Linked DNA regions of Cricetulus griseus. The protein of the gene in region 3 interacts with the protein of the main gene of each other region in a pairwise test. Links are inferred from orthologs where the notes say so. Each region holds a gene or a part of one and is shown on either strand. Other genes may lie near its edges.

Region 1 (10,254 bases), on a different chromosome or scaffold from region 3:
GAGCACTCTGGGAATATGAAAGGGGAAGTTGCCAATTGGACACAGAGGAAGCAGGACATGCAGGAGAGTTAAAAGCCACAAGCCACATGGCAGCACATAGATTAATAGAAATGTGTTAATTTAAGTTACAAGAGCTAGTTAGAAGAGCAAGCCTAAGCCAAGGCTGAGCTTTCATAATGAATAAAAAGTCTCCGTGTCATTATTTGGTAGCTGGCTGGCAGGACAGAGAAAGACTGTTACACCCATTCCCACAATGCAGGGATTTTTGTCTGGCCTGATCTTGTGCAGGTCTTGGTCATGCTGTTATAACATGAGTTTATATGAACAGCTGCCCTGTTGTGTCTATTAAGTACTATTTCCTTGAAGTCAGCCACCACCACCTTTGGCTTGCTCTTACAATTTTCCTGTCCCTCTTCCTAGAAGATCCTGAACTCTGGAGGTAGTACTATACATCTCTCATTTAAGGCTGGGTATTTCACACCTCTCTCATTCTTTGTACAGTGACTGGGTGGTCTCTGTGTTAACTATCATAATACTGGTGGTGTGGGGTAGTTATTTGTTTTATTTTGAAGAACTCAAACTTTATTGCATGAGACAGGACCTCATGCAAAAACCCAGAGTGACCAAAATTGTCTTAGGTCTAGGATGACCTTAATCCTCTTGTTACCAACACTGGAGTGCTGGCATTAGAGGCTCAGTCCTGTCACTACCTCGATTTACATAATGCAGAGAGACCTCACCTGCTAGGCCAGCACCCAGAGCTACAGCCCCAGTAATACTAGTTTTTAATAAGAATTGATGTTTAATCACTCCCAACTGTGAAATTTTCAGGTACAGAAAAATTTAAAAAGCCAAAACTAAACTTATAGCTGAATAAATAGTCATGCCTATCAACACTCTGTAATATACTTAAAAAAACAAACAAAAACCTATCCACTTTGTCAATCCATCTTGAGTTCTGATACCTTTAATAAAATCTTATCCTACAGGCAATTCTTGACATAGGGTCAGGACTCCCAAATTTCTTAGAAGGGGAAATCTAAGGATTTATAATAGATAAGACAAATACTTGTGATTTCTGGCCTACAATTTCAGTGTTCCTATAGTATAATGTGAATCATGTAGTTCCTTATGTATAGTACTGGAAATCAGTTCATTGTCTTGGCTTGTTACACTCAGTGGTGAAGTACAGAAAGTAGGAGAGTGCTAACTCTGAAAATACACTTGAATTTGAAACCTGGGTCTGCCACTCAATAGCTATGACATCTTAAACATGTCATTTAATTCTTCTAGCTATCAGTTTCTTTACTTGCAAAACGAAATACTAGTAGCAATATCTAAATGTTCAAATGAGCCTTGAGATAATTCTCAAAATATTTAGTGTAGGAAAAGTACAACAAATTGTAATTACTAAATTACACTCAGATTAGCCCACATAGCTATCACAATAGTTGCTGCATGGCTATACATACTTACTTTAGACAACCACTGCTCCCTCTGAAAACTATGTGAACATAGTATTTCAGACCACATAATTATGAATTTTTATCAAATTTATCTAATCTAAATAAAATGTTATCTTCATGTGTTGAAACGGCCTTTATGTCTGCAGATGGTTATGGATGCCAGTTTTTGTTGTGAAGTATAAAAGCAAATATTTGCCAGGCAGTGGTGGCTCACACCTTTAATCCCAGTACTGGAAAACAGAGGCAGGTGGATCTCTGTGAGTTTGAGGCCAGCCTGATTTACAGAGCTAGTTCCAGGATAGCCAGGGCTACACAGAGAAACCCTGTCTCCAAAAGTAAGTAAATAAAACCTCTATCAATTACATTTAGCTTTAAAGATGATTTGGGTGGGGGGTAAGGAAGGTACTAGGTCAGTCTTCCTCTACCACTTTCCTGGAGATCATCTACTGGCTAAACTGGCTGTCTAGCAAGTCTCAGGATTCTGCTACCTCTCTACCCATGCCCCAAATCCCGGGCTCCCACCCTTTCACACACTGGTGCCAGAGATCTGAACCCAGTTCTTCATGCTTGCTATGTCAAGCACTTTACCCATTCCCTAGAACATTTTTCAAGTAAAAGTTGGGAGTTTTTCTTTCATGAATTATTACTTAAAATATGACACCTGCAAAAGCAAGCTTCAAATCTACGTCTCTACACATTTCCAAAGGTTAGCCAAAGGAATCAGAATGTAATTATAAAACAAAAGTAGTACTAGAAAATGTATAGTCTAATTTTTTAGAAGGCAAAAAAAAATTAAACAAACAAACAAACGAAGTAGTACTATGTGGCTTCAGCCTACCCTACTGCTAACTCTCTGGCACTTGAGCCAATGTTTTGGTTTTGATTTCTGATGGTACTCAGGCTCAATCTAGGCCCTTGAGTCAAGTTTTCTTAAGTGAAGTTTTTGAAGGCACAGTTTTTGCAACATTATTCTGAACTATGTATATATTTTATACATTCAAAACTAAAATCCTGGGCTGGAGATGGCTTAGCACTTAGTACTTGCTTCCATGCACAGGACCCAGGATCAGTTCCCTGTATCCATATGTTAACTCACAACCAACTGTAACTCTAATTCCAGGAGCTCCAACACTCTCTTTCAGCCTCTGAGGGCAACAGGTGCACACAGACACATATGCAGGGAAAACACAGATACACATAAAAATGTTTAAATCTTTAAAAAAAAAAAATTCCTGCTGGGTGGTGGCTCATGACTTTAATCCCAGAATTTGGGAGGCAGGGGCAGGCAGATCTCAGTGAGTTTGAGGCTAGCCCAGTCTACAGAGCGATCCAGGACAGGCTCCAAAGCTACAAAAAAACCCTGTATCGAAAAACAACAACAACAACAACAAAAATCTTAAAAGTAGAGTGGAAGATGAAAAAGTCTGTCCTGCTAATTTGAATTGGATCTATCACTATGAACTCACAATTAAACAAAAGCAAAACGGCTGGGTGTGTTGGCCCACACCTTTAATCCCAGCACCTGAGAGACTGAGAAGGATTTGAGTTCCAGAGCAGCCAGGACTTTATAGTGAGACCCTGTCTAAGTAAATAAATTCTTAGTTCTATCCTTTCAAACAAGTCTAGAAACAGTAATACTCTGGTAGCAATGGTTATGCCAAACTTTCAGATATTTTTATATAATCCATTTCTCATCGAAATGACCAAGATTCCTAGGATAAACAGCCCTTTGCAGATGGCACAGCAAAAGCAGCCTAGGGTACCTTGTACCAGAATGTGCTCCAGAATAGAGGTGAGCCTAAGTGTCAAAAGACACTATAGTCAGTTAGAAAGAGTTTCTATGTCCAAACTGGTGACAATGTGGCCCTCAAAAAGGGTCCTTGTTGGTTATAAAATGAATGAACTCCCTGGTGGTATTATCCCCTCAAATCTCAAGTCTGTAATGGTTACCCTAGCTCTTTACTCTAAAAATCAACAAGGTGATAAAATCAAGCACTTAATCTGCATTTTAAGAAGAAATTTAGTTCATACCCAATAAAGAAAAATCTCAACTTTTCAGAGACTCATTTTAAGAGCTAAAAATCACTAAGGAAAGTTTAGTCAGAAACAAGTTACTTGCTTCCTGTCAAAGAGTTACTACCTTAAGGTAACATATAATCAAACTGCTAAACCACACCTTCACAAAAGACCTTGCAGCCACCACTTTAACATCAACTGTGTGGTGTTCCGATACAAAGTCCGGGGCATCACCTATTTAAGTATTCTTGCCAAATTAGGTTTTTCACTTTAAGCTAATTAAATCTTTGTTCCAAGGATGTCCAATCTTTTGACACTATTATTTACAGCTCTCAAAGAAACTGTACTATCAATCAAGTTACACACACGAAAACCTAATATTTTCAGTTTACAACTTTGTGTTGGGCTATATTGGGATATCCTTGGCCTTATGCAACCATCGATCAGCAGTCTGGTCTGGAACCAAACTCAGTTAAAAAGAAAGAGTAGTAAATGAAATGACACTATTATAGGTGGACAAGGTCAAGGCTAAACTGGCTCAAATGTTCTACAAAGCAACTGGTTTGGTCAGCTCAGTGCAAAAACAAACAAACAAACAAACAAACAAAAAAAAGAAAAGAAAAGAGAAAAAGGAGATAGTCTGGGTACTATCCTTTTCAACAAAAAGACATGACTAAATAAACATAGTCACCAAATGCAATTCATGAATCTTGACTGATCACAGCCTGTGGAGATACTTTGGAGCAACTGAGGAAATTTGAATGTAAAAATTTTGATGGGCACCGTTACTTAGTATTTTTAGGAAATATTTAAGAATCAAACGTGCTGGGCAGTGTTGGTGCACACCTTTAGTCCCAGCACTCGGGAGGCAGAGGCAGGCGTGTCTCAGTGAGTTCCAGACCAGCCTGGTCTACAAGTTAGTTCCAGGACAGCCTCCAAAGACACAGAGAAACCCTATCTCGAACCCCCCCCCCAAAAAAAAAGGAAAAGAAAGAAAGAATCAAACGTGGTGGTGGAAGAAGAAATCTAATTCTAGTACTTAGGAGGACAAGGCATGCTGTCTCAGCAACAGCCACAACAACAAAACATACAATATAGGAAAAACCGGTGATCACTGAATGTGGTACTGATATGGTCACTGTATTTTTTCGGACAACTTCTGTGAAACTGAAAAGTTTGAGGCCATAAAAGAAATTATATCACTCATGAGAAGTACAGCAGAAATACACCTGGGTTCAATTGTCAACATACTACTTGCATAGCCTAGAACGTGTTACAATTAATGTTACTAAGTTTCTGTCTCTTCTATAAAATTAAAATGTTATTATCTACATCATCCGGTTCTGAGACTAAGACTACATATATAAAAAGCAAAACACTGTTGCAGCAAAGTAAATCTGTTTTTTTGTAATTAAATATACAAAGTATAAGAAAACACTCATTTACATTCCACGTGGAAAACTACAAAAGACACAGATGAATTTTATAAATCAACTGGAAATCAGAGTGAATGGGAGGGAAAAAAATCAGGATCTACAGTATTTTTTTAAACCAAAAATTATCAAGAAAGCAAAAGTAAATATCAAATTTTTACCCAGCTTCTGGTATCTATTATATTGTAGTCTGCTTTTGGTATTAACTTATCTCCGCATAAAATTCTAACAAGCGGAAGAATTTTTTCCCGATAAACACACGCAACAGATTAGTATGCTGCTTATATATTTAAAAAATAAGTTTTGGTCTTAAATTCTGTAAGTTACTAGAAAGTACACGAACAACGCAGTTTACAATAGAATCCGGTTAAGGTTCACAAAAAATCAAACAGATACAATTTCCTTTAATCAGTAATAACTTAGTTGTCATTTCACTTACAGGCAACTCCTTTTTTTTTTTTTTTTTTTTTTAAGGCCGACAGTAAAATGACCAGATACAGAGATATCCTCAGGTAGGTGGGGGGTGGGGTGGGGGGGGAGAGGTGTGTTTGCATTCTCTTCCTCTTTTCTTTGAAAAGTGCGTTCTAATACCGGGCGTGGAGGGGAGGGGCGGCCGAGGAGAGGAGGGAACAAACAGGTCTGGGGCTCTCGGGTAGACCAGGTGAGCGGGTATCAACACACCTCACCAGCAGCACTGCATTGGGTTTTGGACGGATTGTCTTGCAAATCTGCTCCCCTGGAAGATCCGGGTGACTACTTCAGGTCCGCAGGGACCAAGGCCAGCCGCTCCCGACTCCCGGATTAAATACCAATGAGGGGACCTTGTGGGGTGTTTCCTCGCACGAATCAGAGTGACAAACCACGTTTCCTTTTCCCCGCCGCGTCCAGGTGGGCGACGCGTGGTGTCGGTTCCCGGGTTGGCCCGCCGTCTCCCTCCCTCCCTCCCCTTGCTGGCCCTTCCCTCCGTTACCTGCGGCGGGCGGTGCGGGGGTCCGGAGGCCTGTTACTCCTTCTCCTCCTCCTCCTCCTCCCCGCCAGACTGAGACGGCGAGGTGGCGGTGGCGGTGGCGACAGCGGCGGCGGCGCCGGCAACCCGGGGGGAGGGGGCGGAGCGCGCGGCTGGCTCCTCTCCTCCCCCGGGAGGCTCAGGGGACCCTATCTCGGGCCGCCGCGCCTAGGCCAGTGTGCAGCCTGGAACTGGGCGCGCATGGCGGCGCCGCTCACCAGCGCGCCCGCGAGGTGTGAGAGTGCGAGGCGCGACGGGAGCGCCCGGCGCCCGTGGGCCTGAGAGGAGGAGCGAGGGGCCCAGCCCGCTACGCGCGGGCGGCCGTTGGGGGCGGTTGCCGAGGGCGCGCGGCCGCTAGCGCTGGCCCGGCGCGGGCGGGGTGGGAAGGGGAAAGGGACTGAGGGGAGGGGAGGGGAGGCTGGGAGGGAGCCGCCGCAGCGCGCGTGCGGGCCGTAGCCGCTCGTTTCACTCCAGCCTGTTTGGGGGCACTTTGTTTGTGTCCCACAATGCTCTGCGCGGACGGCCGGGCTGGGGAAGAGGAGGGCGGGGCCGGGCTGAAGGAGGTACGCAGCTACTGCGCAAGCGCGGAGCGAGCTGTCCTTAGCCACTCGAGCCAGCCAGACACATACAAGTACCGCGGGCCTTGACCCGGTGTGTCCTCTTGTCTGCATACTTCTACATAAGCGCCATAAGGCCTGTCCAGTTTGTCCTGTAGCCGTGGTCTGAGCCTGCCCCAAGGGAAACGTTAGAACGGTTTGGTTTTCCTTGGCGCTAGAAGCCTAAAGAAACTGTTTTTGTTGTTGTTGTTTTGGGTTTTTTTTTTCCCTAGTGGTTTCTGTAGCTGCAAAGCACTCCAGCCCTTCTCTGTCGGGGAAGGAAATTGGGTGATGTGGACATTTTTTCTCACGTGGAAACTGAGGCCTGCCAATGCTTGTCCACAAGGGCCGCTGAGAACCTGACGAGCTCTCCTGCATTCTTCCCGATGGACAGGGATCCCTCGCGAGCTGTCTTGGCGTGTCTGGCATCCTCGCAGTGCTGTGAGGTTGCCCTAGCATTTTTCTGATTACCATGGCAGAAAGTGCAGTTCTGAGATGACTAGAAAAAAATCGGCCACTCGTTACCCCAACAGAGTGGCTTCTACAACCTAAAGCGACTGTGAACTATTCCCACCCCAACCGTAAACGGCTCTTCTCTGCCCCCGGGGCAGGAAATGTGCGGGTCACTTGACTGATGGGTCACTTAACTGATACTGTCTAAAGGGCTTTCAAGTTTTGGTCACCTTCAAAATCAGCGCTTAGGGTATTAAGACCCCCAAAACCCTAAGCTGTGACTTCCTTAGACCTCAGAGAACCAGACTTAGTGATTTAGCGCGGGTGGGTTGGTGGGTACTCCGGGAGTACCCCCGGTAGCAGGCGTCATTGTGCCTCCGGAAGAGTGGAGGAGGGCAGGATACCAGTCAAGGCGCTGCGCCTTGGGCGCTGTGCATTTGCATATGCATACTATGTACCCACAGCTCCAGCTTTTAAACCGAAAGACTCCTTTGTGCAAGGTAGGTTGATTTCCCAGCCAATAGACAGACACTTGACCTCTTCTGACTTTAATTCACCCTCCACAAAGCAAACCACCAAGCACCAGAGCACCCCTAATCAATGAAATCTACTTTCAAAAGTCAACAAAACCAAAGTCTATGTAGCCCTTCAAATTTCCAACAAATTTTCAAGTATATAGAAGGTATTATACTCTATCATGTTTTTAAATAAATTGGGCCTGTCTTTGCACTGAGAATTGAAGAATCTTACTATCTAGGGAGGTGCCTGAGCGTAAGGCTCTTGGTGGAGTATGTGCTGAAAACATATGTGTCATGGAAACAACTGGTCAAGAATCTAGTGGGAATAAAGTAGACATAAAGTTTTAGGGTAATAGACAGTCAATAAAAGAGCATTCAATTGGACTTTTCTAATTGTGACTCAAGGGGCAGTTGATGTTCATAGGACAGGCAGAAAACACACCACAACACACACACACAAACACACACACACACTCACACACACACACACACACCACACACACACACACACACACACACACACAGAGCTTTCATTTTCTTATCTCATTTCCTTTTCTCCCTTAAGCTTTGTCTATTTCTCATTTTGCCTCTAAAAATGTTATCATCCTCCTCTCCCATTCCCACCCTATGTCTGAAGAGTTTAGTAAGCAACAAGTAGCTGTTGATCTCTTAAAGGCAGAGTTCTAGATGCTTGGAGAGGGTGTGAGAAAAAAATACACAGAAGATTAACTGTTGCTGGAACCCTCTTCTGTATTTTGGTTCTGGGCAGGATCAGTTTCTGTGGCTTCTTCAGCCTCCCACCTCTTTTCTTCCTGAGCTAGCAGAGACTTGCCCTTGGGTTGCTGGAATAGGTAGACCTTTCTTTGACACCAGGTTGAATAATTCTGTTGGGAGGATTTTGTGAAACTGGAATCCTGTACACAGGTGAAACAAACAAACAGTATGAGGAACTTTTAATTATTAACTCAGTGTGGATGATTCTGAGGAATTCAAATTCCAGGCAAATTCCGGGGGGGGGGGTATTTTATCTATAAGCTGTTTGGGAGACTCGTTTCTGGTAAAAATGGTACTCTCTCATGGTAGACCATTACTGCTGAGTAGGAACTCAGTTATTTAGACCAAAACATATTTCAGAGGTAGAATGCTTTATACTCACCAGAAAGATTTCTGGTCTGACTGGAATTATTTCATTGAGAGCCCATTACTGCACAAGCTTACTTCCTGATAGATTCTTCCAACTGTATAAACAAAAGTCAATCTCTTTTCCTTACCTTGAAACATGCCGCTCTAATGTTCCCATTTCACCATCCTTTCAGTTGGTTGGGTCAACTTTGTCACTTTTCTACCCTACTGTAAACCAGTTCAATTGAATGATTCCTGTTAAATATGTTCTTCCCCACTGTCACCATCCTGAAATAGAGCAGATGGTACCTAGAAAATTGTAATATTGCTTACCTGGTTCCCAAAAGACTACCATCTCTTCACTGACAAAGCAGTAGCCAGAGTTGTAATGCTTGGCAACCATGTCAGCCAACAGCCAACAATTTCTATTGTTTTCAGGTAAAGTCCCAAGCTCTTACTGTGGCTTTCATAACACTACTGGCTGGGTTCTTCCTTGTCTCCTTCAAGAAACATGGCAGTCAAAGAGTTACATTTTTTTTTTTTTTTTTTTTGGTTTTTTGAGACAGGGTTTCTCTGTAGCTTTGGAGGCTATCCTGGAACTAGCTCTTGTAGACCAGGCTGGTCTCGAGCTCACAGAGATCCAACTGCCTCTGCCTCCTGAGTGCTGGGATTAAAGGCGTGCGTACCAACACCTGGCTACATATTTTTTTTTAACCTCTAAAATAACCATGCTTTTTCTTGCATTACATTATTTGGATATTGATGTAGCCAGTCGGTGGTGGCACACTCCTTTAATACCAGCACTCGGGAGGTAGAGGCAGGCGGATGTTTCTAAGTTCGAGACCACCCTGATCTACAAGAGCTAGTTCCAGGACAGCCTCCAAAGCCACAGAGAAACTCTGTCTTGAAAAACATTATTTGGATATTTTTTTTCTCCATCTTCAGATCTCTTCTTTACAGATTTGATAGTTCTATGTGATACAAATTGAATAATGTAAAACGTATTCGTTACGTAACTATACTGTCTATAAAATTGGTAAATTGTGTGCCGTTTGGGCTCACTGAGAAGCTGGCTCTAGAAACGGGGTTGCCTGCCCTCCCCCCATTTAAGATGCAAGCATGTTTTTCTCAAATCTTCCAAGGCCCCTTTGTCTGTGGATGAGCTGCCATCCCAGCACACACATACCCCTGTAATGGCAAGAGGGAAAAAAAAAGCCAAATAACGCAAGAATAAAATCATAGTGTCTTTGAAAACAGCTCTAACTAAACCATTTCTAATAGAGGTTACTATTGTTTATCCCATTATATTAAAATGACTGCAGTAGGGATAGGAAACTAAAGGTTCATCTGACTGATTTGGCTTGTCCAGTTGGTTTCTGCCAGATGGTTTTCAAAATCCAATTTGATGATGTTACCTTTCTGCTGCTATTTATTCTTTTCCTTTGAAGCATTTCCTGAGGTGACACTTTGCCTCTCTAGCTGGCTGCCTCCATGGGGCTTCCCTAGTCAGTGTCTGCTGGATTTTTTAAGTGCCCAATTGGATGATGTTTTGTTGTTGTAGTTTTCTTATTTCACCAGGTCCTCCCACCCTTCAGCCCCAAATAAACACACAGAGACTTATATTAATTATAAAACTGTGGCTGA
Region 2 (10,214 bases), on a different chromosome or scaffold from region 3:
CAAACCAGGAGCTAGTGCTGGGTGCCAGAAACTAGCTCTCCATACTGTCCCACTATCTAACACGACAAAGGAATCTCATTGGGTTGTCTTGGGCCAGGGCTGCCAACCCCTCTGTACCTCCTTGTTATCCAACTTTTACAGTCAAAGGACTCCAGCAAAAGGGTTGGCAGGATATCTCAGGGGGTAAAGGTACTGTTTTGGATGGTTTTATGTCAACTTCATACAAGTTGAAGTCATCTGTGTGGACAGAACCTCAAGAAAATGCCTCCTTAAGAAAGGGCTATAAGGGCTGGAGAGATGGTCCAGTGGTTAAGAGCACTGGATCCTCTTCCAAAGGACCCAAGTTCAACTCTCAGCACCCACATGGCAGCTTAGAACTGTCTATAACTCTGTTCCAGGGGATCCAATGCCCTCATATAGACATACTGATGTACTTAAAATATAAACTATTAAAGGGCTATAAGCAGACCTGTAAGGCATTTGTTTAGTGATTGAGGGCCCAGCCTATTGTGGGTGATGCCACCCCTGGGCTGGAGGTCCTGGGTTCTATAAGAAAGCAGGCTGAGTAAGCCATGAGGAGCAAGCCAGTAAGCAGCACTCCTCCATGGCCTCTGCATGAGCTCCTGCCTCCAAGTTCCTGCCCTGTTTGAGTTTTTGTCCTGACTTCCTTCAATGATGACAGTGCTGTGGAAGTGTAAGCCAAATAAACCTTTCCTCCCCAACTTGCCTTTTGGTCATGGTGTTTCACTGCAGCAATAGAAACCCCAACTAAGGTACTTACAGCAAAGCCTAAAGATCTGAGTTCTATTCCTAGGACCCACAGTGAAAGGGGGGAGGAACACCCTGACTCTAAAATTATCCTGACCTCCACAAGTGCCCTCCAAGTAAATAAAATTATTAAATGATAGCTAGGTATGGTGGTCCAAACCTGAGACATCAGATGAGGCTCACAGAACAAACCCCTTTTCTCTCCACATTAGCTACCTGTGCTGTAATACCTGGGCTATATATTTACAGAGATCAGTGCTCTTAACATCATCACCCAAGGAAGCCCAAGGCTGGCCACAGAGACCTTACCAGTTTCTGGCCACAGAGAAGGAAGGGGACTGGTGGGAAAGGAGGGGGATGGTACAAGAAGTAATCTCTTGGTTTTGAGACAGGGTCTCTCTGTGTAGCCCTGGCTGTCCTGCAACTATGTAGACCAGGCTGTTCTCCAAACTCTGAGAGATTCACCAGCTTCTACCTCCCCAGTTCTGGGATTAAAAGTGTGAACCACCACCCAGCTTTTCTTCCCCCAAAACAGGGTTCTCTGTGTAGTCCTGGCTGTCTGGAACTCACTCTGTAGACCAGGCTGGCTTTGAACTCACAGAGAACTAACAGCCTGCCTCTACCTCTTGAATGCTGGGGTTAAAGGTGTGCACCACCAAGCCCAGCTAAGGAATCTTTTATGTTAACCTTTGCCCTTGCCATAACAATCATGAGTAACAAGCTATGACCATCAGGAGGCCCAAGTGTTAAGTCCTGACTTGGAAATACACTGACAAATTACAACTACTGCTGGTTCCTTCTCACTTCCGGATTTGTGTTCTCTGGGAAGGAAGTGAACCCAAAGATCTCTGTAGACATGCCTTTTGTGTTTCTGGTTGTGTGTGACTGGCAAGCATCCAGAAGAGCCTCCAACAAATACAAGCTAGAAGCAAAAACATAGAAGTTGGAAATTGAAGAGTTAGGGCTCATTATAAAAGAAATGGGCAATCGTGTTAAAAAGCAGCTTGGCACAGTAGCACAGCAATCCTAGCCCTCGGGAGGATAAGCAGGAGCATTACACATTTGACATCAGGCTGGGCTGTGGCTGCCCTGCACCACCACTAAGTCTGAGTATCGAGAAACAGGAGGTACCTGTGGTTATGCTGGAAAACAATTCATAGAGACCCCGTGGGGTCTGGGTCCCAACACTGGGCTAAGCAATAGAACCATGTTTCAAGTCAAAATATCAGAGAGGAAAGGGAGAATGAAAGAAGGGCCAGGAAAAGGTGCCAAGAGCTTCTGGTTGCAAAGGGCCAGGAGGGTATACAGGGGTGACAACTAGTGTTCAGCAGGCTGACCCACCAGATGAGTAATGGAGCAAGGCTGTGGTATCACTGGCTGTAGATAATTGTGTCTGTCTGTAATTTCTCCCACGAGCCACTTCATTTCTTCCCTAAGAACTGCTAAGCATGTTTTCCCATTGCTTGTGTGTTTATCCCATGTATATATTCCATCTATTTGTGCACACATACAGCTGTGGATAGTCAGGAAGATGATTTCTGCTTAAGCTGTATAATTTTGATGAATAGAATTAACAGTAGGATTATTTTTCATTACTTAGACTGACATAGGATTCTCAGGCATAAAGACAGCCTTTTACACAGACAGCTAATTTTAGATTCCTGAACAAATTCAAAGCAAACTAGTTGCCCCTACATGAAGTCATTTTCCCAGGTGTTTTGCTAACTCAAGGTCAGAGCTCAAAGTAACTTTAGTAGACATAAATGGACTTTCTGCTTGTACTCCCTACCATTCAAGGTTTAGCTAATTAACTATTATTGTTCAAGTATTGAATTCCAGTGTCATTTTCTGTTTGGGAAAGAGCTATGTCCATGGCCACGGGTTACTCACTGGCCTGCCAATGTGACCCCTCTAGGAGAAACTCTGTGACTTATCTTGTGTTATGAGAATGGGTCAGGCCCTGAAAACGTAACATATAACCTATCATTCAGAGTTTGGCTGTGGGAGAGAAGGGTGTAGAAAGAGATATGAGAAGGGTTACAGAGCTAATTAGGAAGCTGTGAAGAGAGATTTTTCAGAGAGAATTTTTCAAGATGAAGTAAGTTATCACCAGAAAGTGTCTGTGTTTTCTTATTTTTCCCCTCAGAAAAAGTCTAACCCTCAGATAGGTAAGAATTTTCCTAAGCCCTCACTACTCTGAGGTTTACTCTTGCGACCCTGGAGCAGATCTGGGAGCTGGCCTTTCAGGCTATGGTAAGGAGAGCTACCAGACAGGTAGGTGTAGGATGCTTTCTGAAGTCAAAGGGACTTTGCTGGTATTTCTGCTGGGATTCGTCAAGGACAGTAGTGTTCTCTTGTGGCACTTTCCAGTGCATGGGAACCACAGAGAGAGTCTCCACCAGAGCACCTTAATCTGAGCAAATACTAATAACTATTTCCCATGTCTGGCTGGACTAAGACAGCAAGGGGGTGGGAGTAGACGGCTGTAGCTCTGCTCTCCCTGGGCACACTCCTCTTTGCTTACTGGCACTGCAAGAAGTGTAGGTGAATCTTGGAAAGAACGGTGTCAACAAAGAAAGGAGTCTCACTTTTTTTTGGTGGTAGAATTTATGATTTTGCTACACTAGTCCACTTACAAGGTAAGGAAATGCCAGAGACAGGGAGAATCTTGAACTCATGTACCAGGAAAGCGACATCTGAACAGGAAAGTCTTTTGGGAATCTCAAAGGGACTAGGCACACAAATAACACACAAGACAACACATAATAGCCCCTCTCCCCCGTTTTACAAGGTTTGTGGTACAGTGATAGCTTAGTTGGTTGTGGGTTCCAAGAATGAGGCACCTATTATTTGTGTGCACAAGGAGGTAGCTCAGTCCAGGTCATCCAACCTTGGGGACTAGAGAAAAGTATCCACTTATTCTTAAGTGTGTAGCAGCTCAGTAAAGAACCAGAAAATGCTGGGTGTTGGTGGCGCACACCATTAATCCCAGCACTTAGGAGGCAGAGGCTGGTGGATCTCTGTGAGTTTGAAGCCAGCCTACTCTACAGAGTCAGTTCCAGGACAGCTATGGGTGTTACACAGAGAAACCCTGTCTCAAACAAAACAAAACAAAAACAAATAAAAAACAACCAAAGCAAAGAACCCAGAAGACTCCTATTCATCCAGATGTCCCCTCCCAAGCTCACATTTACCTAATTGATAATACCAGGGGTTCCAGAGAGGAAGCCCAGCAAAGACCACCTAGCAGTTGTCCTAAGCCAGGAACCTTTCTCAAGGAACATCAGAGTTTACCTGGTCATGCAAGAAAAAAAAAAATCTGGGCAGTGGTGGTACATGTCTTTAGTCCCAGCAGGCAGGGGGATCTCTGAGTTTGAGGCCAGCCTAGACTACAGAGCCTGGACTACAGAGCGAGTTCTAGGACAGGCTCCAAGACACAGAGAAACCCTGTCTCAAAAAACCTAAATAAATAATGTACCTAGTCAAGGATAATGGAGGGAGAGGAAGGAAAGATGCCACGCCAGGTGGTATAGCGGGTTGGCCAGAGCCAGGAGAGAACCCAGTGTATGGAAAGCTGGCATTTACATTGGTTCCCGAGTTCTCTAGCAGGCTCATGGGCTAGTGCCTTTCTGACCCTGTAGAACTGGAATGCTGGCACAGGAGAAGGTGGGGTAAAAGTCTGGGCCCCTTGGAGGACAGGAAGGCACAGCATAATGAATGATGGTCTTTCCCTATGATAGAGGATATATAGCAAAGTTTTTAATTTTGTTCTTAATCAAAGAAAAATACATACCACCATGATTACCCACACAGACTATGGGAACCTCCTGGGCTCACAATCCCATACTCTTGAACAAATTACTGAGTCTGGACTTATTTCTAAAAGAGATAATGCTCAAGTCACAGTGCTGTTTTAAACATGCATGTCACACATTTAGCACACAAGTTAAATAGGATCTGTTAAGAAGTAACAGTCACACACACACACACACACACACACACACACACACACACACACACACTAGGAATGATGCCACCACAATGGAACCTCCACCCAGTCTCCCTGGGTTCCTTGTTGAAGATTAGAGAGTGACCAGAGTTTGGTGGTTTCCAGTACAGTGCCTCCTGCGACTTTGCTGAACCTGAAGGTGATCCCCAGGAAACATCAAACTGTTTTCTGTACAAGGTCAGAAGATGCTTAGATGTGAATGTTTGATGAATGACTGCAGGGGCAAAGGGACAAGCCCCAAACTGAATTCTGAATGATGTGTGGGTACCTGGCAGGGAAGAGGTGGAGTGAGAAACTGGCTGTGGACAGGGATTTCTCAAGGGAAAGGGGATGCCCCGTAGAGACCAACAAGGGTGAAGAGTGGAAATAAAGGCAAAAGTCCTACATGTTCAAAGAAACAAGTGAGGGGGCTGGAGAGATGGCTCAGAGGTTAAGAGCACTGGCTGCTCTTCCAGAGGTCCCGAGTTCAATTCCCAGCAACTACATGGTGGCTCACAACCATCTGTAATGAGATCTGGTGACCTCTTCTGGCCTGTAAGCAAACATGCAGGCAGAACACTGCATACACAATAAATGAATAAATCTTAAAAAAGAAAGAAGGGAAAGGGAAAGACAAGGAAAGGAAAAACAACCAGCAAAACCCAACTCTCACCTGGAGCCTCCCTAGGAAGGGCATGAGGTGTGAATGTGGGCATTGCATTAGGCTCCAGGTTCTCCATTTCATTGACTTGGATATGGATCAAACTGTCACCTCTGCCTTCATTTTTTGTTTTCTATTTCTTATACCCATGACCTCCAGAGTTCCAACTGTTCCATTCTGGGGCTACCATGCATCACTTTCCCTAACAGTAATACTGGTCTCCGTTTTCTCACGGGACTGGGGCTCTAAGTCTGTGGAAGTTAAGAGCAAATGGCACAGGGTGAGCTGTGGCGTGGAACACACTGAGGCTATGGGCTGCTTATGGGCTGTATCCTGGATCATCTGTGCCCCACTCCCAAAAAGTGGTGTGTGTGTGGGGGAGACTATCCTCATCTCCAACCACAGACTCACTGTGCTAGGTAAGCCTTGCTGCTGCTTTTAATTTTCTGAGACAGTCTCATGTAGCCCAGGATAGATTAAATAATCAATCATATTAGCTGGCTGGCCTCAAACTCAACAGTCTCCCTGTGTGTGTCACAACACCTGGCTTGCCCTGTGGGCTTTAATTGTAGCACTAGATTGGAGAATACAGTTTCTAACCTATACTGTGCCATGAACAGATCATGAGACACCAAAATGTAGCCCTAAAAACATAGTGGCTCACACCAATAACCCCAGCACAGCAGGGGCTAGGGCAGGAGACCCTGGGCTAGAGACCCTGTCCAGAAAAAAAAAAAAAAAGGAACCTTAAGGGACCACCTAACTCAAATCCAATTTCTCACAGAGGAACCTGGAGTCCAAAAAGATAAAATAACCTGCTCAATCATACAGATACTTGGTGGTTTCCTCTTCTTTCAGAGGCACAAAGAATAAATCAGTAGTGATTTTCATGATTCACTGTCCCTCCGCAGACAGTCCACAAAGTGCTTCAAGGTTTTAAGAGGCACCCAGAAAAGTAAGGCTGGCATTCATTTTTCTGGAAGCCTGATTATGCAAACCCCTTAGATGCCCCATTATTTGACTACAAGGGCAGGCTTGGAGTTGGTTTTGCCACCATCTGCAGATGCCACCAAGGCTCGCCCCGTGGCTGAAGGACTCTCTCCCATGTTTCCTTGAAGACTGAAGCCAGGAACTGCTGAGAGTCAAGGGAATGCTGTCACACTGCCAGGGCCCAGGGGCAATGGTCAAATTCCTGGGGTTAAGCAAGGCAATTTCGGCTCAGATAAAGCTAGGGTGGGCAGGGCACGGGGACCTGAGGTGGTAGGGCCAGTGAGAGGGAAGCAAACCGAATGACTTCACTGGGCTTCCTAGCCCAAGGAGGCTTCACTTTCCAGAGCCCTTCTGGGCCTCTTATCTCGAGTTCCTTCCGCTTACACCTACCTGCCATTTTCCACCCTAATCTCTTGAGTTTCACAGACGGTTTCCAGCCACCTCGACTTGACTCTCTGGGACCGCCCTCCACCCATCTGCCAATTGTGGTTCCCGGGTTCCTGGCGCCACAGTCTCCCCCCACGCCTGGGTGCCACTGTTTTGTCCCTGCTGTGGCCAGCAGGAGCCTAGTTCAAATAAAATGGATCCAGCCCTGGGGCTCCGCGGCTCCGGCACCACCAGGGTGCTCGGGCCCAAGCAGCGCGTAGTCCCGGCCACCGTTGTTGTCCCAGAACTCGCGGCCGGTCACGCGGTAGCGCAGGGCGAAGAGCAGGGCGCCGCCGACCGGAGGCGCCGGCAGGCGGAAGGAGAAGCGGTCAGCCCGCGGCGGGGCCGGGGCAGGGCCGGCGTAGGCGGCGGGCGACTCCCGCAGGCTGCGCCAGCCGTCCGCGCTCCAGCGCACGCTCACGCGCTTCTCGTAGGCCAGGTCCAGCACGCGCGCGCTCCCGGCCACGCCCAGCGGGCCCGCGTCGGCGCGCTCCAGGCAGATGCGCTGCGCCTGCAGGCGGGCGGCGAAGCCGGGCTCCAGGGCGGGCTCCAGGGCCACGCGCGCCTCCTGAGGAGAGAGGGCGGGGAGGCGGGTCAGAGGAGGGCTTGGAGCGCGGAGGCCGAGGTCCCGGGGACGGGGGCGGGGCGCCTACCTGGAGGCCGCGGGCGCGCGGCGGGCACGGCGCGAAGTGGCGCAGGGCGTCCCTCTGCAGTTGCACCTGCACGTGGCGGGGCACCCGGGGCGGCTCCCCCGGGCGGAAGCGGCGGACCACGACCAGCTCTAGCCCCAGCGCGTCAGCGAAACGCACTCTCTTGCGAGTGTCAGGGCTGCGGCTGCGGGCTGCCCGCGCCCCGCCGCCACCTGCGGGCGCAGAGCGGGCCCTGCGCCCCCGACCCGGAACGTGAGCCCGCGAGCGGGCGCCGGGCCGGGTCCCGCCCTCCCCCGGCTCCTCCTCCGACTCCTCCTCGAGGCTGGGCCGCTGGCTGCGGTAGTAGGCACGTTCGGTCAGCGCTGCTATAAAGCTCAGGTTGCGAGGGATGTCGGTGCGCGGAGGCCGCTCGCGGGACATGGCACCCCTGCGCCCCAGCGGGGCCGGCGCACAGTGCCCGCCCGGCGCGTCCTCACTCGGCCACCCGCTCCGCGTCCGCGCATAGGGCGGAAGGCTGCTTCGGCAGCTGCTAGCCCTGGACTCGCCTTCTTGCTGTCACCTCGCGTTCTTGGCCTGGCGGGTTTCCTTGACCACCTTTCCCTGCCTTTGGCGGTCAACCCCACTGTCTTCTAAGACTGTCGGTCCTGCCGGCTTCCCGCTGTCTGCTCTGAGCGTGCGCTCAACGGCGCTCTCCCTTCGGTTCTGCGGGCCTCGCTGACCCGGCCCCCGCCCACAGCCCTCTGACAGGTGGCTCGGCATCTATCTTCCCTGCTGCACCAGGGGGCGGGACTGACTCCACCCTCGGGGTCCCAAATGAGTAACTCCAGTATGAGAAGGGTTAAAGCGGGGAGGAAAGAGTAATCCTTCATTTTCTTGCATGGAAAGTTCAAAATGCCGAGAGGCTAATTCTCTTCCCCAGAGCTCAGTGTTTTCTTAAACCCAGGCTACAGGTTTGGGATAGAGGTGAAGATGGGCGTAGTGAAAAGAAAGGCCGCGAATCCTAGGTTAAGTCTTCCGAGTGGAAAACGCCAAAGGACGAGCGGTGGACACAAGACTGGCTATTTTCCAGTTTCATTTTTGAAAAACAAGCTAGTGACAATTTTACAGTGGTATGTAAAATGTGTTCTAACTTCTCTACTGATCTTTTTTATTTTCAAAGATTTGCTTCATTTTTTAAATTACGTGTATGGTGTCCGGCTTTATGTATACAGGAGTGCAGGTGCCCACAGGGGCCAGAGGGGACATTAGATACCGTGGAGCTGGAATTACAGGTGCATGTGAGCTGCTAGAAGTGGGCGCTGAGAATCCACTAGGGTCCTCTAGAAGGGTGCTATGTGCTCTTAACTGCTGCCCCATCTCCCCTGCTCTCTACAGAGGTTTACAACACAAAACACTAGGCATGATTACAGTAATTGTTAACATATTACAGAGAGAAAGTTGAGAGATGGGGAGGGAGGGAAAACATCTTGCCCGGTGTCACATAGTTACTAATTGTGGGGCTAGGTTCTCTTAGTCATTTAGTTCTTATACATTAAAACAGATAATGACGATACTAGTATTTTCATTAAATGATAATGTTGACATCTAATATAAAAGTGGAAGTTACGGAGCTGAAAAAATGGCTCAGTGCTAAGAACATGCACTGCTCCACGGGATCTGCTGCCCCCTTCTGGCCTCCAAGGCCACCTGCACTCACGTAAGCATAGACCCTACGTGGACACAAACAACCACATAATAAAATAAAAAAATACGTATTTTTAAATGAAATGGGCTGGGCATGGCGACTCACACCTTTAATCCCAGCAGAAGCAGGCAGATCTCTAAGTTTTGGGCCAACCTGGTCTACAGAATGAGTTCCAGGACAGCCAGGGCTACACTGAGAAACCCTATCTTAAAAACCTAAAATAAAGCCATGTGTGGTGGCACACACCTTTAATTCCAACACTAAGGAGGCAGAGGCAGACAGATCTATGTGAGTTTGAGGCCAGCCTGGTCTACAAAGTGAGTTCCAGGGCAGGCAGGGCTGTTACACAGAGAACCCTTGTCTGGAAGTAGGAAGGAAGGAAGGAAGGAAGGAAAGAAAGAACTAAATAAATAATAAAAGAGGCCAGGAATAGTGATGCATATGTATGCCTTTAATCCTAGCAGTCAGGAGGCAGAGGCAAGTAGCCTGGTCTATATAGTGAGTTCCAGGACAGCCATAACTATGTAGACAGACCCTGTCTCAAAAAAAAAAAAAAAAAAAAAAAAAAAGAAAGAAAGAAAGAAAATGTGAAGAAAAAAAATGAACTCCCTAAATTCATTTATTTATTTGTGGTGCTAAGTTTTGAACCCAGGGCTTCATGCATGCTGGGCAAATACTCTACCACCGAGCTAGTTAAAGTCTCTAGATTTATAACAGGATGATTTAACAAAATGAAACACAAGCAACTCAAGTGGAAATAAACAGACTTATGCTATCTTATTATTATACAGTTCATCCCTGTGTATGTTTTCACAGCAGCTTTAAACATAGCAGTAATAGCTAGGACTCGTTTTTAAAAACCATATTGAATTTTGTTTCTTATTTCACACATAAAATGCATGAACATACTTTATGTCTTAAGGTGTAAAATAATTGTACGCTAATTAATGTTACAGTCAGGCAGTTTAAAGGGATCCTCCTTGCTCTGATGAAATAACATGTCACTGATGTAAAACCAAGGTGGTTCCTGGAGAGTTTATGGCCTCA
Region 3 (10,254 bases):
CCTCCCGACTCTATTCTGTGTCTCTGTCTTTTTCTTAGTAACTTTAATTTGTCTACGTGCCATTTATCAATCCACACTCCCCCTCTCAAGTGTGAACCAGGCAAGTCAGATGTATGTGACCCAAAGACAGTTTCCTACACCCTCCCTGAAAGATCCTAATTTGAAAATTTCCTCCTAGCATGTGTCACAGTCCATTTGCTGATGCCCCAGCTGAATATCACAGATCAGTTTATAAAGAACATTTCTTTTTGACTCACGACACTGGAGGCTGGGGAAGTCCATGATCAGGTGTCTGTGGAGAAGTCCTCTTATTGGTAGGGCTTTATGCAGAGGTGCAGGGACATTGCATTATGGGACAGAGCATCTGTCTCACATCTTTCCTCTTATAAAGCCACAGTACTGTCAGATTAAGCATCCCAGATGGCCTCATTTAACTTTAATTACTTTCCACAGAACCTTCAAATAATACAACTGGACTATGTTTACATCCTCTATTTACCTCATGAGTCTATTTCAACATGAATTTTGGTGCACTCTATAGATAACACTTGTAAGGTGACATGTATAGTTTTGGGGACTTGAACATCTTCTAAGGGCCATCAGTCTTCCTAACACATAACTGTACTGTGATCAGATGAATAGGCACAGATAAAGCTAAAGCTCAGAACCTAATGTCTTTGTTTTTCATCTCAGTCTCAGGGCAGGTAGATTTCTTCTTTGACCATGGTTTAGGCTGACCGTGTCCCAGTACAGCATCTAGAGTAGGTTTGAGTTCTTGCCAGACTGAGCACTATCCTCAAAGCGAAGGCTGTGAATTACAGAGCAGGGTTGATACAGGGCACTGATTGGAAGCTAACTCCTTCATACTTTCATTTTCACCCTCTTGGCATTAGTGGTATTTAGTTTTTTGGTTTTTATTGTCTTTCTTATTCCTCCTCTTCCTCTTCTTAACTGTTTGAGAGAGGGTCATACTTTTTAGCACATGATCTCAAACTCACAATCCACCTTCCCTAGCCCCTAAAGTAGCTGGTGTGGTGGTTTTGAAAGGGGTAAACTAAACTAAAAGGCTTCACTTCTAGAAATGAAGGGACCAGACCCTCACTCAGCCCCCTGCTTTAGCAGCCATGACAGGCTACAGAAAAGACACATAGGCCTCTGACACAAGGAAACTCCAGATCCCCTGGCCTCCTGGGGCCCAGGGCCAAAACTGAACACAAAGAAACTCCAGATCCCACCCCCCCACCACCAGATACTTGGTTCCTGAGAACTGTTTGACCACCAGGAAAAACCAAAACCTCCCTTGTAGTCTCCGGGATACAGTTCTAAAAAATATTGGTATCTATGTACAACAGGCCACCTGCAAGTGATAAGACAAAGCCATAGAAACCACAAAATGTTCCCTCTCAGCACTGACCAATGAGAATAATTGGTACACAGGTATTTCATGCCAAAATATGACTTTGAGAAATTCTCCTAATTGTTTCCAAATGTCAACCAATCAGAAACCAACCTGTATCTACTGATGTAATCCTGTAACTTTTGTCTTTAAAACCTAGCAGTAGACAGGGAACTTCACTCGCTCTGGAGGCTGCTGCGTCAGCTAGCCAGACAGGGTTCCTGTCATGGTTGGATGAATAAAATCTTGCTTTTGCAGTTTGGTGGTTCTGTCTGTCTTTCTTGTGGTCTCTGGGGTTCTTTGCAACTTGGGCACAACAGTTTGAATGAAAATGGCTCCATAGGCTCATGTTTGAATGCTTGGTTCCCAGCTGGGGGACTGTTTGGGAAGGATTAGGAGGTGCGGCCTTGTTGGAGGAGGTGTATCATTTTGAGGTTTCAAAAACCAACACCAATGTAGCAGAGTGGTGGTGGCTCATAGCTTTAATCCCAGCACTGGGGAAGCAGAGACAGGCAGATCTCTGTGAGTTCGAGGTCAGCCTGGTCTACAGAGTGAGTTCCAGGACAGCCAGGACTATTTCACAGAGAAACCCTATCTCAAAAAACAAAGCAAAACAAAACAACAACAACAACAAAAGCCCAGTCTCTCTCCTTCTGCCTCCATCTTGCAGGTAAGATACAAGCTCTCAGCTACTGCTCCTGCACCCATGCCTGCCTGCCTGCCACAGTGCTTCCTGCCATAATGGTCATGGACTAACTGTCTGAAACTGTAAACAAGCCCCCAAGTTAAAATCTTTCTTTTTTAAGGTTCCTTGGTCATAGTGTCTCTTCGTAGCGATAGAACAGTGCCTAAAACAGCTGGGAGTGCAGGTGGGCATCACCACACCCAGCCCTGATGTTTACCTTTTCAGGCACTAGTCTAAAATGCTTTTGAGTTGTTTTGCTTTTCGGGATATATCTGAAATCACTGAGATTCTCTAGCTCCCATGTTTCGAGAATCAGGACTGCTGTATGTCAAGGGGGTTGGATGTGTTTCCAAGTCTCAAAGGAGTTTTGAGACAAGCAACTTGGCTGAAGATGCACTGGAACTCCTTGGCTGAAAGCACATTGGAACTTCCGGTGTATCCTGATAACTGGAGGAGACTGTGACAGGATAAAGAAAGCAGAGCAAAACAGCCACCACGGAATGAGTGCTTTATGGCATGCCAAGAGCTGTGCTGCCCTTGAACATATCACCTCATTTAAAGCTTTCCATGGCCCATGGAGGCAGAGATTGCCACGCTTGTTCCATAGGTTCCCTTTTCAGGTGGTAGCAGCAGACTCAGTGTTTGTGAGCTACTACAGTTGTAAAGATGTGGGAAGGTCGGAGGGTCTTCCAGAAACCAGTGTGTCTTGGTTTGTTTGTATTGCTGTAACAGAATGTCAGAGACTGTGTAATTTATAATGAGCAAAAATGTATTGACTCCTGATTCTGGAGGCTAATGATAGACCTTCTGTATCACAGAATGGCAGAAAGTCCCCTGTGGACAGAAGATGCGGTGGGAGAAGCCGGACTCATCCTTTTTTAAAGCAGGAATCCATTCCCTTGACAATGGGGTTAATTCATTTATGAGAGCAGAGCTCTAATGAACTAATCATTCCTGAAGGTGCTGCCTCTCCACACTGATTATGGTTAGGTCTCAAATTCAGGACAAGTCTCACTCAGTACCTGTGCCTCCTCCCAGTGCCCCTCACCCTGTCCCCTCCCAGGGCTGGGCCTCCTCTTCCCTGCCCCCAGCCTGATCCCTATATAACTTGCCTGTTTTAGCTAGCACCTCTCTTGACCTCTTGGCCAGGGCCACCTCTCAGTCAGGGACTCCTCTCTTGCTCTCCCATCCCTTCTCTCCTTTCATGGTTCAGTTTAGTCTGCCAGCCATGTTCAGCCTGGACTCTTCTCTTTGCCTGCTTCCTCCCTTATATCTACAATAAAAATCTTCTCCATACTCCTTCCTTCCTTCCTTCCTTCCTTCCTTCATTCCTTCCTTCCTTCCTTCCTTCCTTCCTTCCTTTCCTTTCTCCTCTCTCTCTCTCTCTCTCTCTCTCTCTCTCTCTCTCTCACTCCTTTTTTATTCAGTTATGTTTTCCGACACTTAAACTTTGAGGGTCAGACTCAAAGTTTAGAATCTAAACAGTCTAGAATCTAAACATACCCAGAGACTAAAAATACTACATAGAAGCTAGGCCACAGCGCAGAATCCATGAGGGCCTTTCCCTCAACCTCGCTCAGTGAGATCCAATGCTGGCTAAGGAGTGCTGTTAAGTTCGCAGGGATTTTAGGATTATCCCTATGGTGTCCTTCCTCCTGGGTGAGAGGGAGGGCAGGGCACGCTGATGTTTTCCTGGCAGCAGACATTGGCTTGAGGGGAGTTGGTAGAAAGGTGGGGATGGGTGCTGTTAGTTTCAAAGCCTGGCCCTCTGCATCCAGCTCTCTGCACCATCAGCGATGCTCTAAGCACAGGGCACCTCTGACCTCCATGCCATGGAGTGCGCTGCTGGGAGAGACCCAGGGACATCTGGTATGTGTATGCCAAAGGCCCATTTTAGTTTCTGCTATTTATTTCTTGCCATGGGGAAAGACGGGGTGGGATGGGCCAAGGGGCCCATCTCACTTGAGAAAGTCTGGGTCTGACAGCTGAAGGGTCCCAGAGCAGCCAATATTACCTTGCCTTTTCTCTCTGTCTCCCCCAGTTGTCTGCTTTTGATTGACAGAGACATCTGGAGGCTAAAAATATCCTACTGACCAAGTGCTCTTGATTTCAACTCAAGATGAGCACGACTGCAGTCCAGAACATACCACATGCAGGGATTATCTTCAAACAGGGTTTCATGCCAGGACCACACTAGCCTGTGCTCATTTTCTGTCTTGGCATCTTTTCCAAGTGGTGAATGAGACCCTTGTCAGGTCACTGCTTGTTTGCCTTTTCCCTCCTGAAATAGTGATGAAGGGGGAGGTGAGGGCCTAGTTCTGGAAAGGAGCAGGGAAGGGGAGGTGGCCTGTCCATTTATAGTCCTGCCCTCTGGGACATGAAGGTGCTAAATAGCAGCAAGGACAAGAGGCTTGGCTCAGTGTGAGCTACCCACACCACAGGTCTGACAGACTCTGAGATGACAATAGGCAGCATGGAGAATGTGGAGGTCTTCACTTCAGAGGGCAAAGGCAGAGGTCTGAAGGCCACGAAAGAATTCTGGGCTGCAGATGTCGTCTTTGCTGAGCGGGCTTATTCTGCAGTGGTTTTCGACAGGTATGGCATGCAGGAAGTGGCCTTCTCCACTACTGGTTTGACTGGTATCACACTCTCAAATTCTGAATCCCAAAATCATCAGGTGAAGGAATAAAGTTCAAGGGATCCTTAATTTGTAATTAAAATTTTTATTACATTTATTTATTTGTGTGTGTGTGTGTGTGTGTGTGTGTGTGTGTGTGTGTAGAACACGGACACCACAGTGTGGAACATATACTTGTCACAGTGAATATGGGAAGGCCAGAGGATAATTTTTGGTGTTGGTTCTCTCCACCATGTAGCCTCCAGGGATTGAACTCAGATAGTCAGTCTTATTGACAAGTGTCTCTGACAATGAGCCATCTTGCTGGCCCTTCAAATTTCACTTCTGATAGCTCTCTGTTGGTATTTCTTTTCTGCAAGGAGTCGTTGTCTCTAACTCTCTATGGCCCCCATCGGGGTGGCGAAGCTGAGTAGGGGTCTTTAGGCACATTATCACAGAGAATGTGGCTGGGAGGCTGGGGGTGGGTGGGTGGATGTGGTGAAGTGGGAAACATTTTCTTACAAAAATCTCTTTTAGAGTCTTTGGATATACAAAAGAGGCTAAAAGTCTGTATAAACCCATTAGACTATAAAACATTTGTTGAAATTTTAAGAAATCAGTACTAATTATAAGTAATAAAAGAATCCACTTACTTTCAAAAGAGTCTTTCCCAGTTTCTACCTCAGGGGTAACTTGTGCTTTACTTTAAATCAACTTTTTCCAGAACATTCTTATGTTACCTCAAACATTGATTTGCACTGAGCAAACTGGATAGCCACAGTTTGTTTGCTTGCTTGCTTTTATGGAAATGATATGCTTCAGGGTCAGATGAGCCTGCTTTTTCCTTTAAACAATGTTTCTGACTCTATCCTTGTGAGGACAGTAAGTCTACAGATACCTTGTTTGTTTTTGTTACTTTAAAAATTGTGTGTGTGTGTGTGTGTGTGTGTGTGTGTGTGTGTGTGTGTGTGTTCTTGTATGTAGGTGTGCATGTGCCATTGTGGACATGTGAAGGCAATTCTCTCCCTCCCCTATGTAGGTTCCAGGGATTGAACTCGGGTCCTCAGCTGTGGCAGTGGGCACCTTTATCCCCCGAGTCGTCTTGCTGGTCTTGATGCATCTTGTATATCCCCAAATATCCAGTTGTTTTAACTATGTGTTGAGCTTTCCATATTGGTCTGTAAACCACATGGGATATCATGTAGTAATATTACTGTAAATATTCCACCCTGTAAATATATGTACAACATTTTACTTGTCTATTTTCCAATCAAGAGACATTTAATGGGTTCCCATTTATCTAAAAATCTAACATTCCTGCAATTAAAATGTGTTCCAGTGTGCACACATACACAATGTGATTCTTCTCTAGCCATCGGTGTGCACAGCTACATGGTGTGATTCTTCTGTAGGGCCATTGGTGAGCACAGGTGCACAGGGTGATTCTTCTCTAGGGCATGTGATTAGGAGGAGGTTGCTGTTTTCAGCTTTAAAAGTATCTGTTAAAGCATCCCCATTTCCCTACAATCTTGTCTATATGGAACTATCAACATTTTAAAATTTTAAAAATAGTACTTAATCTTTATTTTAAAACAAGCAAACAACCTCCCTACATAGTGATTACATTAGAATGACAGTATTTTCTGATCACAGTTGGAGTGACATGTCTGGTGTTTGTGTGGTTTGAATGAAGCAGCCTCTGATAAGCTGGACAGGTGAGTGGCTACAGCATCAGCTGTCATGGGGTGGGTGCTTCAGAGATAACTTGGTTAGTATTTAAATTCTCTTTCCTCTGACCACACCTTCTAAGACCTTCAGGAAAACGCTGTGAACCAGGGCATGTGGCTCATTGTCATCCAAGGAGTTAATCAGAAGCCCAAGTGACACAAATAGCAATTCAGAGAAGTGTGTGTGTGTGTGTGTGTGTGTGTGTGTGTGTGTGTGTGTGTGTGTGTGCTGAGTACAGGTATGAAGTCAGCTAAATTTAGAGTTAAAATATAAAAATACAGCAACACACAGATGGCACATGCTATTCTTGGTTTGGTCACCACCATTGTGTACCTCAAAGTCCCTAGAGCCAGTCTAGCCAGATTCTGTTTCAAGACTCTGGAGTTGAGTGGGGTTTTCCAGTATTTTTTTTTTTTTCTTTTCTAAGACAGGATCTCACTATGTAGTCCCAGCTGGCCTGGAACTCACAAGGCTTGCTTCACCAATGTTGCCTCTCCCTACCTAATTCTGGATGAAAGATGTGTTCCACCGCACCTGGCTCTCAGTAGAGAGTTTTTATTAACTTGCCAGGCTCCTCCTCCTGGTTTATTTCATTCATTTTACTATGCAGTGGAGCTTTTACTAGAGGAATTTTTCTTCTCCATTTAATAACTTGAACGTCTTCCACGTTTATCTTTGAGTCTGTGTGCAGGTCATGTGTGGGCGTGGGGATGCTGTGCCCTGGATGGTGTGTGTGGGTCAGGTCAGGTGTTGATCCTCATCTGACACCTTGTCTGGGGCAGGGTTTTTTTTTATTGTTTTTGTTTGTTTAGTTTTTTTGGAGACAGGGTTTCTCCGTATAGCCCTGGCTGTCCTGGAACTCACTCTGTAGATCAGACTGGCCTTGAACTCAGAGATCCTCCTGCCTCTGCCTTCTGAGTACTGGGATTAAAGGCGCACCATGACCACAAGGCAGGGCAGGATGTTTTGTTTCATCTGTATATGGCAGGTTGAGAGGCCTAGAAGCTTTTAGAGATTCCCCAGTCTTCACCTCCTAGGAGAGCTGGGATTATAGATGTGTGCTATGCCATCTAACTTCATGTGGGACATGGGATTTGAACTCAGGTCCTCATGCTCTGTGAGCAAGCACTTTGCCTGCAGTGCCATCTCCTCAGCCCTTCTTGTGTTCCTTTTTATGGTGATACCTAAACTTTAAGCTCCTTTCTTGTTTGTTTAGTTTTATTAGTTTTATTTTTGTGTATATGGATATAAGAGTTGGAGTGTGCATGCATTTGTGTGCATGTGAGGCCAGAGGTTGCTGTTGGGTGTCTTCTTCAATTACTCTCTGTGCTACTTTTTTAATGTACATTGGTGTTTTGCTGCATGTTTGTATGTGTGAGGGTATAAGATCGTGGAGCCACAGATAATTGTGAGCTGCCATGTGGGTGCTGGGGATTGAACCAGGTCCTCTGGAAAAGCAGCCATCTCTTTAGCCCCTCTGTATGGTATTTTTGAGACAGGATTTCTCACTGAGCACATAGCTCACCAACTCAACTAGACTGGTTTCTAGGAAACTCCAGTGATCCTCCTGTCTCTGCGTCTCCAGTGCTGGGATTAAAGTTTCTATGGGCGCTTGTTGTGATCATTATTCTGCATAAGCGCTTTGCTGACTGATCCATCTCTCCAGCCTTTTTTATTTTAATTTAGTTTCTATTGACATTGCTTTTCTTAATTTTTCATGTCCAGCAAGGTAAGTTAATTCTGTGTCAGGCAGAATGAAAAGATAAATGGTTTCATTCTCAACAGTGACTTGGGCTTTGGCAAGGAGAGGAGATACTATCTCTGTCTCGTGCTGTCTGTCACCACTATCACCATCAATACCTTCACCACCATCGCCATCACCATCATCATCTCAGTAGGGCAGAGCTCATCACTGAGCCATTCTCCCAGCTGAGTTTAAAGGGTTTTTTGTTTGTTTGTTTGTTTTGTTTTTTTGAGACAGGGTTTCTCTGTGGCTTTGGAGGCTGTCCTGGAACTAGCTCTTGTAGACTAGGCTGGTCTTGAACTCACAGAGATCTGCCTGCCTCTGCCTCCTGAGTGCTGGGATTAAAGGTGTGTGCCACCAACACCCAGCTCCTGAATAGGTTTTATAATTTGCTTTGTTTATTTAAGAGGTCCTGTGGCTCAGGCTGGTCTCAGACTCATCCTATGCTGAGGCTGGCATTTAGTTCCTGGTCCTCTTGACTCTACTTATCAGGTGCTAGGATTATGGACGTATGCCACCACACTTGGCTTATACTTTGCTTTTAAAATTGTTACTGAATGCCGGGCGGTGGTTCCTTTAATCCCAGCACTCAGGAGGCAGAGGTAGGTGGATCTCTGTAAGTTCAAGACCAGCCTTTTCTACAAGAGTTAGTTCTAGGACAGCCTCCAAACAAAGCCACAGAGAAACCCTGTCTTGAAAAAAAAAAAAAAAAAAAAAAAAAAAGAAAGAAAGAAAGAAAAATTGTTACTGATTTTTGCTTTGCTTTTTAATAAAAATATTTAACCCCACTAAAAGATGCAGGCTCCAAAGTATTTTCTGAGGATGCCTAGATCCTTTTAAACCCTTGACACCAAGTTTCATTGCTTTTAGGTAGAGGGTCCTGGAAGTATTGTCTAGAGATGAAAAAGGCTATTCTCCAGGCCCTTCCCTATCTGCTGAGGATGCTGTACACAGAGTCAGGCCACAGAAGGGAACTGAATCACATGACCCAAAAGAGCTTACAGTTTGAAATTCTGTAGATTGCAGTGGGTTAAAGTGCAGCAAGAGAGGAGTTCTAAGTGAATAAAATGGAGCTTATTCTGATTATTATTTTAATATACTAGAAAGGCACAGTGACGCTGACAATGGGCAGTGCTAGGAACCCCAAAATCTCAATTCTACCTCCCTTTATTGAGATAAGGTTTCACTATGTAAAACCCCATGTTGTCCTCATGCCTCTGCTTCCTAAGGCTCCATACCTAACTCAATTGTGTGTGTGTGTGTGTGTGTGTGTGTGTGTGTGTGATGTGCTTATGAGTGCAGTTGCCAGTTCAGATGAGGGCTTCAGATTTCCCAGGAGTGGAGCTATAGAGGGCTGTAGGCCACCTGACATGGGTGTTGGGAACCGAACTCTGGCCTTTTGGAAGAACCATAAGCGCCCTTAACTGCTAAGTGGTCTCCTCAGTCCTCTCAATTCTCTCCCCCTCAACAACAACAGTAAATAATGATAGTGTTCCAGATGTCTTGAGTTTAGAGATAATTTAGCCTCTGGATTCTCCACGGATCCTAAGCTAGGGAAACATCAAAGTTTGTGTGAATGTACATATGTGACTTTTGTTTCCTAGGAGAAAGTCAATAGCTTTCGTGGCTTTCAAATGGTCTTCAATAGAAAAGTAGAGACCCACTGAGTTTATGTATTCCTTTCTGACACATAGGGAAACTGAGACCTAAAGGGATATTAACCTTTCCCAGGTCACAGTCACGGGGCAAGCTTGAGTGTCTCCATTGTGTCTTATCTAAGTCATCACTTACTGCTCAGACAACTTGCCTAACATGTGCAGGAAAAGGATATCTACTATTAACTTCAGAAAAATCAAAAGTTGATTCTAATCAAAAGTTGATTCTAATCAAAAGTTGATTCTAATCAAAAGTTGATTCTAGAGCCAGAGAATTGTTAGGTCCATAAAACCAGGTAAGAAAGAGGAATATGGTGGCTGGTGGCAGGACAGTTTAGTGGTTCAAGGACTAGCAAAGCCTGAGGAATTGAGTTCAGATTTCTACAACCAGATGTGGTAATGCATCTGTAATCCCAACTCCTCTGCATC

Evidence for each region.
Region 1: the proteins of Smyd1 (region 3) and Zbtb44 interact in binary tests that used the Homo sapiens proteins (3 or more experiments, as listed by UniProt). The link is inferred for Cricetulus griseus from reciprocal best matches to the Homo sapiens genes SMYD1 and ZBTB44.
Region 2: the proteins of Smyd1 (region 3) and Homez interact in binary tests that used the Homo sapiens proteins (3 or more experiments, as listed by UniProt). The link is inferred for Cricetulus griseus from reciprocal best matches to the Homo sapiens genes SMYD1 and HOMEZ.

What each region holds. Positions count from the first base shown.
Region 1 is NC_048597.1:143,467,600-143,477,853, reverse strand, and holds the start of Zbtb44 (zinc finger and BTB domain-containing protein 44), read right to left. Parts: upstream 6,383-10,254; 5' UTR 5,886-6,382; intron 1-5,885. UniProt on the Homo sapiens protein: May be involved in transcriptional regulation.
Region 2 is NW_023276807.1:210,067,431-210,077,644, forward strand, and holds the start of Homez (homeobox and leucine zipper protein Homez), read right to left. Parts: upstream 6,979-10,214; 5' UTR 6,805-6,978; coding exon 6,798-6,804; exon of another isoform or gene 4,501-6,797; intron 1-4,500. Other genes in the region: protein phosphatase 1 regulatory subunit 3E, read right to left, coding at 6,979-7,401, 7,487-7,903. UniProt on the Homo sapiens protein: May function as a transcriptional regulator.
Region 3 is NC_048601.1:62,947,762-62,958,015, reverse strand, and holds the start of Smyd1 (histone-lysine N-methyltransferase SMYD1), read left to right. Parts: upstream 1-4,463; 5' UTR 4,464-4,539; coding exon 4,540-4,676; intron 4,677-10,254. UniProt on the Homo sapiens protein: Methylates histone H3 at 'Lys-4' (H3K4me), seems able to perform both mono-, di-, and trimethylation. Acts as a transcriptional repressor. Essential for cardiomyocyte differentiation and cardiac morphogenesis.